Oryctolagus cuniculus: one gene and its partner. The protein of the gene in region 2 binds, or shares a complex with, the protein of the main gene of each other region. Links are inferred from orthologs where the notes say so. Each region holds a gene or a part of one and is shown on either strand. Other genes may lie near its edges.

Region 1 (4,933 bases), on a different chromosome or scaffold from region 2:
GGACCTCCCTGTGTCCTGCTCCCCTGCAGGGCCAGCCCTGCCCGGCACTGACCTGGCGGGAAGTGCGTGGCTGTGACCAGGGCGTAGAAGTTGCGGAGGAGGCGCCGGCGCTGCTCCGGGGGAGGGTCTGGGGGGAGGGACGGCAGGGTGAGGGAGGGAGGGCCCGCCCCGCCCCGCCCCGCCCCGCCCCGCCCCGCCCCCTACCCCTCCTCCCGCCCCCGCCCCTCCCCTTGGCCACCTTCATCCGCCAAGGGCTCCACGGTGAAGAGGCAGCGCTTCAGGTCCAGGTGGAGCAGCAGCAGCCTGTGGGGAGGGGGCGTCACGCCAGGGACGGGGATGCGGGCCCCGCCCGCCGCCGCGCCGCGCCGCGCCCTACCCGAGGACGTCCGTGTGCAGCGGGAAGCCGGCGGGCAGCGCCCGGCGGCCCAGGGGCAGGCAGGCGCGCAGCGGGTCCAGCAGAGGCTGCCACCAGCGGTCCAGGAGCTGCAGGGGGCGCGGTCAGAGGGGCGCGCGGGGGCGGGGCCGGGAGGGGAGGGGGAGCTGGGGGCGGGGCCGGCGCGCGCGGGGTGGGGCAGGGGGTCACCTGTGGGTCCAGCTGGCCCAGCGCCGGGCGCGGCCCGCAGAGCAGACACAGCTCCAAGCCGGGCAGCAGCGTCAGCGTCAGGAGCCGGTGCGGGACCTGAAGCAGAGCCCAGCGTGGCAGCCCCCGCCGCCGCCCCCCGCCCCGCCCCCCCCCCCGCCCCGCCGGCGCCCACCCGCCCGCTCACCGTGGGACTCCCGTGGGGCAGGTACACCGGGTAGTCTCGCGCGGCCTGCGGCGCCAGGGACGCCACCATCCAGGGCAGCAGCACGGCCTCGGGCGTCCCCAGCCGCCACCAGCCCTCTGTCGCCGCCACCACCCGGCCGGACGTCAGCAGACAGGCGAAGGCCGTGCCCGCGGCCTCGGCGAAGCCGGACAGGGCTTCCTGGGGGAGGGCGTGGGCACTCGTGGGCAGGGGGCTCCGGGGACTCGCGGCGCGCGCCGTGGACTGAGGCTGAGGGGTCGGCCCACCTGCCCGGAGCCGCAGTGTGGCCTCGCCAGGTGGGAGGGAGAGCGCGCGGCCGGGCTGCGGTGTGGCCTGGGGCTGAGCGGCCGGCAGGACAAGCTCTGGGTGTAGACAGGCTTTTCTGGGGCCAGGTGAGGGCGAGAGGTAGAAGCAGGTGGGGACGGGGCCCAGGGGGAAGGGGGCCGGGCCAGACCCACCGGGACGAGCCCGAGCCCCTCCGTACCTGCAGGAGGGCGCCCTCCGGGGGGACCACGCAGTCCACACACTGGGTCAGGTCCCCGATGAGCTCCGAGTGCCCCAGGAAGCTGTCGATGAGGCAGTAGCTGGCCTGGCGGGGGGGGGGGGGGTGGCTGAGACCCAGGTGGCCCCGAGATGTGCCACAGCCCCTCAGGAACAGGCGCCCCCGCGCCCCTCACCCTCAGCTCCTTCTTGAGCCTCTCCACGTTGCGGACGCTGGTCAGTTCTTCCAGCCCCACCAGGAGCACCTGGAGGAGCCACGCGTGTCCGAGGAGGGCTGGGGGAGGAGCCACGCACGAGGGGGCGGGGCTTGGCGAGACTCACCATGGCCCCGAACACCACGTGGAGCAGTCGCTCCAGCCGCAGCTCCGAGGCGCCGTCCTCAGAGCACAGCGCGATGAGAGTGATGCTGCGGAGGGCGCGGGAGAAGATGGACGCGCGTCCCGGGGCGGCGGCTGCCTCCGCCCTCAGCCCGGCCTGCCCTCGGGCGGGGCGGGGCAACGGGCTTGCGCGTCCCCACAGCCAAACAGCTCGCCTGCAAGAGCCGCAGGCCCCCAGGGGCGCCCCCAGGCCCTGGCTGCAAGTCCCGCGTGGAAGGCCCCCAGGGGCGGTCACCCGGGCCCTGGCTGCAAGTCCCGCGTGGAAGGCCCCCAGGGGCGGTCACCCGGGCCCTGTCCCCCAGGGGCCGTCACCCGGGCCCTGTCCCGCTGTGTCCCGCCTGGAGGGCCCCCAGGGCCATCACCCAGGCCCCGTCTCAGCAGCAAGGCCCCACCTGGAGGGCCCCCAGGGGCCGTCACCCAGACCCTGGCTGCAAGTCCCGTGTGGAAGGCCCCCAGGGGCGGTCACCCGGGCCCTGTCCCGCTGCGTCCCGCCTGGAGGGCCCCCAGGGGCCGTCCCCCAGGCTCTGTCCCGCTGCGTCCCGCCTGGAGGGCCCCCAGGGCCGTACCCCGGGCCCTGTCCCCCAGGGCCATCACCCGGGCCCTGTCCCCTGCGCCCGCCTGGAGGGCCCCCAGGTACGTCACCCGGGCCCTGTCCCCCAGGGCTGTCACCCGGGCCCTGTCCCCTGCGCCCGCCTGGAGACCTGTCATGGAAGCTTCTCCACACCACGGTCGTGTCCTCAGTCCTTGCAGAGCTCAGCTGCACCTCCAGGTTCTGCCCGAACATGTGCACTCCATTGAGGGAGCCGATGACAGAGAACGGGAGCTGAGGACGGGTGGGGGCGTTAGGGACACCCCGCCCTGTCTCCTCACTGTGAAGCCCCAGTGTCCCAGCCTCGCCCCCTCCTCCTTTCATATCCTTTTTGGGGAACCAGGCTGAGCGGGACCTTAAACGCCCCCGGAGCCTCCTCAGCCCAGCTCCCGCGAGGTCCCGAGGCCCCACCTGCTGGCGGGCGGGGGCGCCGCCGCGGCTGCTCCGACAGAACAGCGGGACCCCGCTGTTGGCCGCGAGGCACAGCAGATGCAGGGCGCCCCCAGTGCCCTCCTCGCCCATGGGGAACAGCCCCTGCGGACCCCGGCCCGGGCCCTGCAGCCCTCCGTGGGGCGGCCAGAGCTGCTCTGAGCCGGCCGGTAACTAGACTAAGTCGGCCTGCAGTCTCGAGACGCCAGAGGGCGAAAGGGGAAGCCGATGGGAGAAGGACTAAATTCCGGCCGCCTCCAACGCAACTCAGAACCTCAATCCCTATTCATCCCGGAGCCCTCGGCCAACCCCGTCAGGTTCTCTTCCGCCCCAGCCGGAAGTCACAATGCCCCTAATAAAGATGGCGGCTGTTTCTGCAAAACTTTGTAGTCTCTTCCCGAAGAGGTTTGACTTCATTTATTTAACGAGGGCAACAGAGAGGCTGGCTTCAAATGGTTGCAGTGCCAAGGCATTGCCCAGCAACCATCCTGCAGGCTATTATGAATTAAGTTCTCTAACTTGGAAAAAAAAAAAAAAGCTATGCCCCATCAAAGATGGCGACGTCCCCAAGCCGTTGCCTAGCAACCACGTTCCGTCCAGATTTTCATAATAGGCAACACCGTGCCCCACTCAAAGATGGCGACAGCGCCGCGCGGTCGCCTAGCAACCACGCCTGCCGAAGCTGTACAGCTGTGTCCTGCTCAAAGATGGACGCGTGTGGAGTCCGAGCAGCCTCTTAGGGCGAAATTGAGGAAAACACCCTCCCACCTCCGAGGGAGGCTGGGCCCACCGAGCGTTGCCTAGTAACTGCCACGTGGGAGGGTTGTTGTTGTTAGTAGAAAGAGGGAAAAATAGATCCTTTCTTGTGCAGAATTTGAAACACACTGTTTTTGATGAGTTTACACCCAGCGGGCTGGTGAAGACACCTCTCCCGCTGCTCTCCCTGAGAGCGGTAGCGGGCGTGCCTTCACAGGCCATCGCGCACTAGCGTCCTCACGTTCCCTTTCTCCACCAAGACTTATAAAATCCCACTTTTAAACGTCTTCTTACAGTTATTTATGGCCGCGACATTTGAGCAATCCTGTACTGACCTATTAGGTTCATTCCCATGTGGGTTTTTTCTTTTTTTTCAGATTTATTTATATTTGAAAGGCGGTGGGGGGGCATCGTCCATGCACTGAGCCACTCCCCCAGTGCCTGCCGCGGCCAGCACTGGACAGGAGCAGCCGGGGCCGGGAGTTCCATCAGGTCCCAGACTTCCGAGGAAGAAACATGCTGGCCGGCCGCGGCTCACTAGGCTAATCCTCCGCCTGCGGCGCCGGCACACCGGGTTCTAGTCCCGGTCGGGGCGCCGGATTCTGTCCCGGTTGCCCCTCTTCCAGGCCAGCTCTCTGCTGTGGCCAGGGAGTGCAGTGGAGGATGGCCCAAGTGCTTGGGCCCTGCACCCCATGGGAGACCAGGAGAAGCACCTGGCTCCTGCCATCGGATCAGCGCGGTGCGCCGGCCGCGGCGGGCATTGGAGGGTGAACCAACAGCAAAGGAAGACCTTTCTCTCTGTCTCTCTAACTCTGCCTGTCAAAAAAATAAACATGCAAAGAATAATTTGAAAAATAGACTATCAATTTCGCCCTGTCTTCAGTGAATTTTCCTTGCCTTCCTTTATTATGACTCCTCTGTTCCGATTCTAAAGTGCTTTTTATCTCTTTTTTCTGGATTAAATATTTTTTTCTCAATCCATTCTTATTCTGATTTCAAATTTATACACTTATTTCTCTTTTAATTTTAGTGATTGCCATTGAAATGTTACTATATACGTATTTATTTTGGCAGAGTTACAGTCAAGTAAGATCCTTTTTTAATGAAAAAAAAAAAAGGTTTGAAAGGCAGAGTGATGGCGGCGGAGATCCGGATCCTCCCCGCAGGGCTCCCTGCGCGTGGCTGCCCGGAGCCGGGGCCCACGTGGGTGTCCCACGCGGGTGCAGGGCCCAAGCACCTGGGCCGTCTTCTGTGCTCTCCCAGGCCGCGGCAGGGAGCCGGAGCGGAAGAGGAGCAGCCGGGACTCGAACCGGCGGCCTGTCGGATGCTTCCCCGCTACAGCAGTGCGCCGGCCCCTGCACGGCAGATTCTGTAAAATATCGGATCGCATGGCCTGAAGCGGAAGGCAGCGGCTCTAGGTTAAAAGAAATGTAAGAGCCGTGAGGTCCGGGCTCCCGGCTTGGGTGGCCGCTGCGGCCCTCTGGGGAGTGACCAGC
Region 2 (4,261 bases):
GCATCCTATATGGGCCGGGTTTGGATTCTGGCTGCTCCACTTCTGATCCAGCTCTCTGCTATGTCCTGGAAAGCAGTGGAAAATGGCCCAAGTCTTTGGGCCCCTGCACCCACATGGGATACCTGAAAGAAGCTCCTGGCTTTGAATTGGCCCAGCTCTGGCCATTGCAGTCATTTGGGGAGTGAACCAGTGGATAGAGGACCTTTGGACCTCTCTCTGCCTCTGCCTCTCTGTAACTCTGCCTTTCAAATAAATAAATAAATGAGTAAATCTTAAAAATTTATAACACCAAGATTTTAGGTAACAAGGTATTATTGTAATATTTCTGCTTAAAGAGTTGTCTCAGATAATTATTTTTTAGTATTAATACATTGTCAAAATTGGGAACATCCCTAAAGAAAACCCATTATGATTCATGCAATCTATATAAGATATCTTTCATTTACAATTCAAGAAGAATTATGGAAAAGATAAAATGTTGACTGTCAGGACCCTGAGAAATCACTAGCACCTTAGTGAATTTTTGTTGTAAGATTACTGTGTTGTAACAAAGATTATTAGGGAATAAACAAATGGACATTATCAGATTCTTGCCTTAATAAAGAATATTTTCAAAGGACCATATTGGGGAGATAGCAAAATAAAAAGCTTGTATGATACTAGGCTATTAAAATAAAATGCTTTTGTGATGCTGGGTTATCAGAATATGTGCATTTTAAGTAGATATGTGCATTTCCCCCCAAGTAACTGCAAAAACACATTTCTAAAACATTCAGAATTCTTTTCTGTTGAGATTTATTCTGTCTGAATCTAACAAATTTGACATGGTAATTTGTTTTCCTTTTATTAGTGGAACCCAGTGAGCTTTTATTTGTAGCTGTGTTGTGGTTATCTTTGAGATCTTCATTTCTGCCTTAAACATCAAGCTGGGCTATCTAATGAATCTGTAACTGTGCTGGGAGTTATGTGTATTCCATGTAGGTTCGAACATTTCAGATATACGAAACATGCTGTCAAGAAAACAAGCAATGGCAAGAGAATCTGGCTTGTTTTCACAATAGCTTTGCTGTATTCAATTTTAATCTAAATTGACTGCTGCTTTGAAAGAAAATACCCCTAAAGTTCATCTTACTTTACTGTCTAGATTTGAGATTTAAAACGAAATTACCAACAGCTTTGCCAACTGCATAGCAATTACTCTGATGAGGTATTTAATACTTTCAAACCCAAATATGCCTAAACCTGAAGAGTTTTGCTAAATAAAGAATTGTTTATTCAACCCAGTGCTGGTAGCATAAGAATCTGAAGAGTCTTACTGTGAGCTGCTGTGGTGTTCCCATACATACTCCTACTCTCACCATTATGGTAATTGCTTAACTTTCAGGTATTGCTGGGAAGAGGCACATCTTCATAGGCATGTCTGATAACATTGTGAAGTAGATAAAATGTGCCTTCTTTCCTATTCTCTAGTCCTCTGGTTTATCAAAACTTGCTCTCCAGTCCTTTTCTCTCCCTCTTTGGGGTGTTAACTTTCACCCCTGGACAAAACCAAGAATCTTATTTAGGGTAGTATTTAGAGAGGAAGATCTAGGGACTCCACTGTTCTTTTAAAATTGTGACAGTTGTTCTTCCTACAATTAGACCATTTTTTAATTTGAATTATTTTTAGAAACATTTCTACTATACTGATTGCAATTTCCAGTGTGAAAAAGGTTAGTTATCTCCTTTCAGCTAAAGATAGTAAATGTTGAGCACACTGTGAGTTGCTTTTACTGGAAATACTAGTTCAAACTGTGTTACTTTGATGAGTCACTGTTTTAATTACCCATTTGTGGTGAGAGGTTGGTTCATTATGGATTTCTTCAGTTTTGACAGCTTTTTGTTGCTCAGAGTCATTGTCAGCTTTGCCTCAAGTGAAAGTTTATACATAGGTTTGTTTTTGTACCAGCTGTCATATTTTAATTTCGTCTTTCCTGCAACAAGCTCACATTTCATCCAAGTTTGCAAAACCTGACTGACTGCAAACATGAGTATTCTGTTGTAATTGAAGGAGTTTCACTTGTTTTAACGCTGCTATGTTTGAATTCCACAGCACAGCTTGAGGCAAGCCTTGGAACCTTCTATGCTCCAACAAGACCACTTCTGGATTCAACTGTTTTGGAATATAGAGACCAAATCAGCAAATATGCAAGGAGATTCTTCCATCACTTGCTCAGGTGAATGATACTTTTGGATTGATTAAGGTTGTGTTAAAAGTTACATATTTCAGGGGTCAACTTCTTTAATTAGCATACTCTGTATAACATGACTGTTTACTAATAGTCTAACTCTTGAAGAAAAACAAACTTTTCTTGGTATTCTTTGTTCAGTTTTCCTATTAAGGAAATATTTGATTATTGTTTAGGATTTTACATTATCAGTATTCCTTAATATACCTTCTACTTTAATATGAAAGCAAAATACCAGCTATGTAAAGTCAGTATAAATATATTCCTGGCACTAGAGAAATATTTTCATTTTTAACTAAAAGTATGAATTGCGATAAAGCTCTGGGACAGTAATTGGTTTCCTTTGCTTTCAGAATTACTGTAGAAATTTTGTGCATTGTCCTCTCATATAATGTAGGAAGTTGGAGCTTCACCATATCTAATGTTTTTTATTTCTGAGGATAATTAATGAATTTGTATCGTGTCTGTAGAGCTCCCAAAATGAACATGAATGAAAAAGACATTTTGTAGGTAACGTAGTGTCTTCACTTTGTCTCCAACCTCTCTAATTTCATGAAGTTATTTTTCTATAAGCATCATGTTTTATAACCCTTATATTGGCCCTTGGAAGCTCATATTCTAATGTGCAATTTTTTTTCTTCATTGGCCGTCCTCATATGCAGTTTTCTAGTTAGTTATTGGATGTACTTTGATGATGTGACTATTATTAGATTCTAGCTTTTCATCTGGAATTGAATATTTTCCATTGGGGTTTTCTAGTTTGTCATGTTTCTCTTTTTGAGTGCTTTCTATTTCAGTTACAATGAGTGTTTATTCTTGTTTTAAGGAAAAAAGATTTATTTATTTTGAAAGTCATAGTAACAGAAAGAGGGAGAGACAGAGATGTTTCATCCACTGGTTCACTCCTAAGATGGCTGCTATGGCAGGCACTGGGATGGGTTGAAGCCAGGAGCTTTATCCGGGTCTCCCACGGGGGTGGCAAGGGTCAAACCCTTGGGCTATCTTATGCTTCTTTTCTAAGACATATTAGCACAGATCTGTTTTGGAAGTAGAGCAGCTGGGACTTGAACCAGTGCCCACGTGAGATGCTGTCATTACAGGTGGTGGCTTTACCCACTATACCACAACATCAGCACCTTAATAGTTTTTTTGCTAGTAGGTTATACATAGCATTATGAAAAAGAAAAGTAAATTTACAAGAAATAAAATGAGGAGATGGTGTTGTGGTACATCCCACATGCGCACTGGTTCAAGTTACAGCTGCTCCACTTCTAACCCAGCTCCCTGCTAATTTGTCTAGGAAAGCAGTGGAAGATGCCAAGCACTTAAGCTTCTGCCACCCACATGGGAGATGCAGATGGAGTTCTAGGTTCCTGACTTCAGTCTGGCCCAATCCTGACTCTTGCAGCCCTTTGGGGAGTGAACCAACAGATGAAAGATCTCCCTGTCTCATGCATATGCTCTCACTCTTGCTCTCTCTGTCACACTGCCTTTCAGATAAGTAGAATTTTTTTTAGAAAGAAGAAATTAAACGAGATAGCTTAAGTTAAAATCAATCATTTGTTTAATCTGCTGCCAGAATTTCTCCTGCCTGGGGGTGATAAAAAAAAAGCCAAATGTCCTTTTGTATTTGTGAAGGCTAGAATTGTCTTTAGGCTAGTGATTATTTTAATAATCTGAAAAAGTTATTAGATGATATAATCATCCTAAACAGTAAAGACCATGATAAGAATTATTTAAAAACTCATTTATTTATTTATTTGAAAAGCAAAGCTAGAGAGAGAGAAGAGGAGGAGGGGGAGGGAAAGGGAGAGAGGGAGGGGAAGGGGAAGGGGAAGGGTTCACTCCTCAAATGGCCTCAGCAACCAGGTCAGAGCCATGTTGAAGCTAGGAGCCAGGCTGAAGCCAAGAGCCAGGAGCTCCATCCTGATTTCCCCATGGGTGCAGGGCCCAAGTATTTGGGCCATCTTTAGCTCTCTTCCCAGGCAGGAGGCTGAATTGGAAAAGGAGTAGCCTGTATTGGAACCAGCACT

Evidence for each region. The genes of interacting proteins can lie anywhere in the genome.
Region 1: the proteins of WDPCP (region 2) and FUZ are in contact, whole or in part, in a cryo-EM structure (PDB 7Q3D), measured with the Homo sapiens proteins. The link is inferred for Oryctolagus cuniculus from reciprocal best matches to the Homo sapiens genes WDPCP and FUZ. Residues at the interface, in NP_056994.3 of Homo sapiens: Arg55, Ile57, Asn75, Lys78, Leu82, Glu418, Asp419, Arg420, Leu421; in NP_079405.2 of Homo sapiens: His293, Glu372, Glu373, Pro374, Arg379, Gln397, Pro399, Thr400, His401, Gly402, Ser405, Leu406.

What each region holds. Positions count from the first base shown.
Region 1 is NC_091449.1:7,739,501-7,744,433, reverse strand, and holds the start of FUZ (protein fuzzy homolog), read right to left. Parts: upstream 3,033-4,933; 5' UTR 2,775-3,032; coding exon 2,664-2,774; intron 2,487-2,663; coding exon 2,365-2,486; intron 1,693-2,364; coding exon 1,608-1,692; intron 1,532-1,607; coding exon 1,463-1,531; intron 1,375-1,462; coding exon 1,270-1,374; intron 966-1,269; coding exon 768-965; intron 680-767; coding exon 584-679; intron 484-583; coding exon 377-483; intron 304-376; coding exon 239-303; intron 128-238; coding exon 53-127; intron 1-52. UniProt on the Homo sapiens protein: Probable planar cell polarity effector involved in cilium biogenesis. May regulate protein and membrane transport to the cilium.
Region 2 is NC_091433.1:139,484,982-139,489,242, forward strand, and holds part of WDPCP (WD repeat-containing and planar cell polarity effector protein fritz homolog), read left to right. Parts: intron 1-2,092; coding exon 2,093-2,216; intron 2,217-4,261. UniProt on the Homo sapiens protein: Probable effector of the planar cell polarity signaling pathway which regulates the septin cytoskeleton in both ciliogenesis and collective cell movements.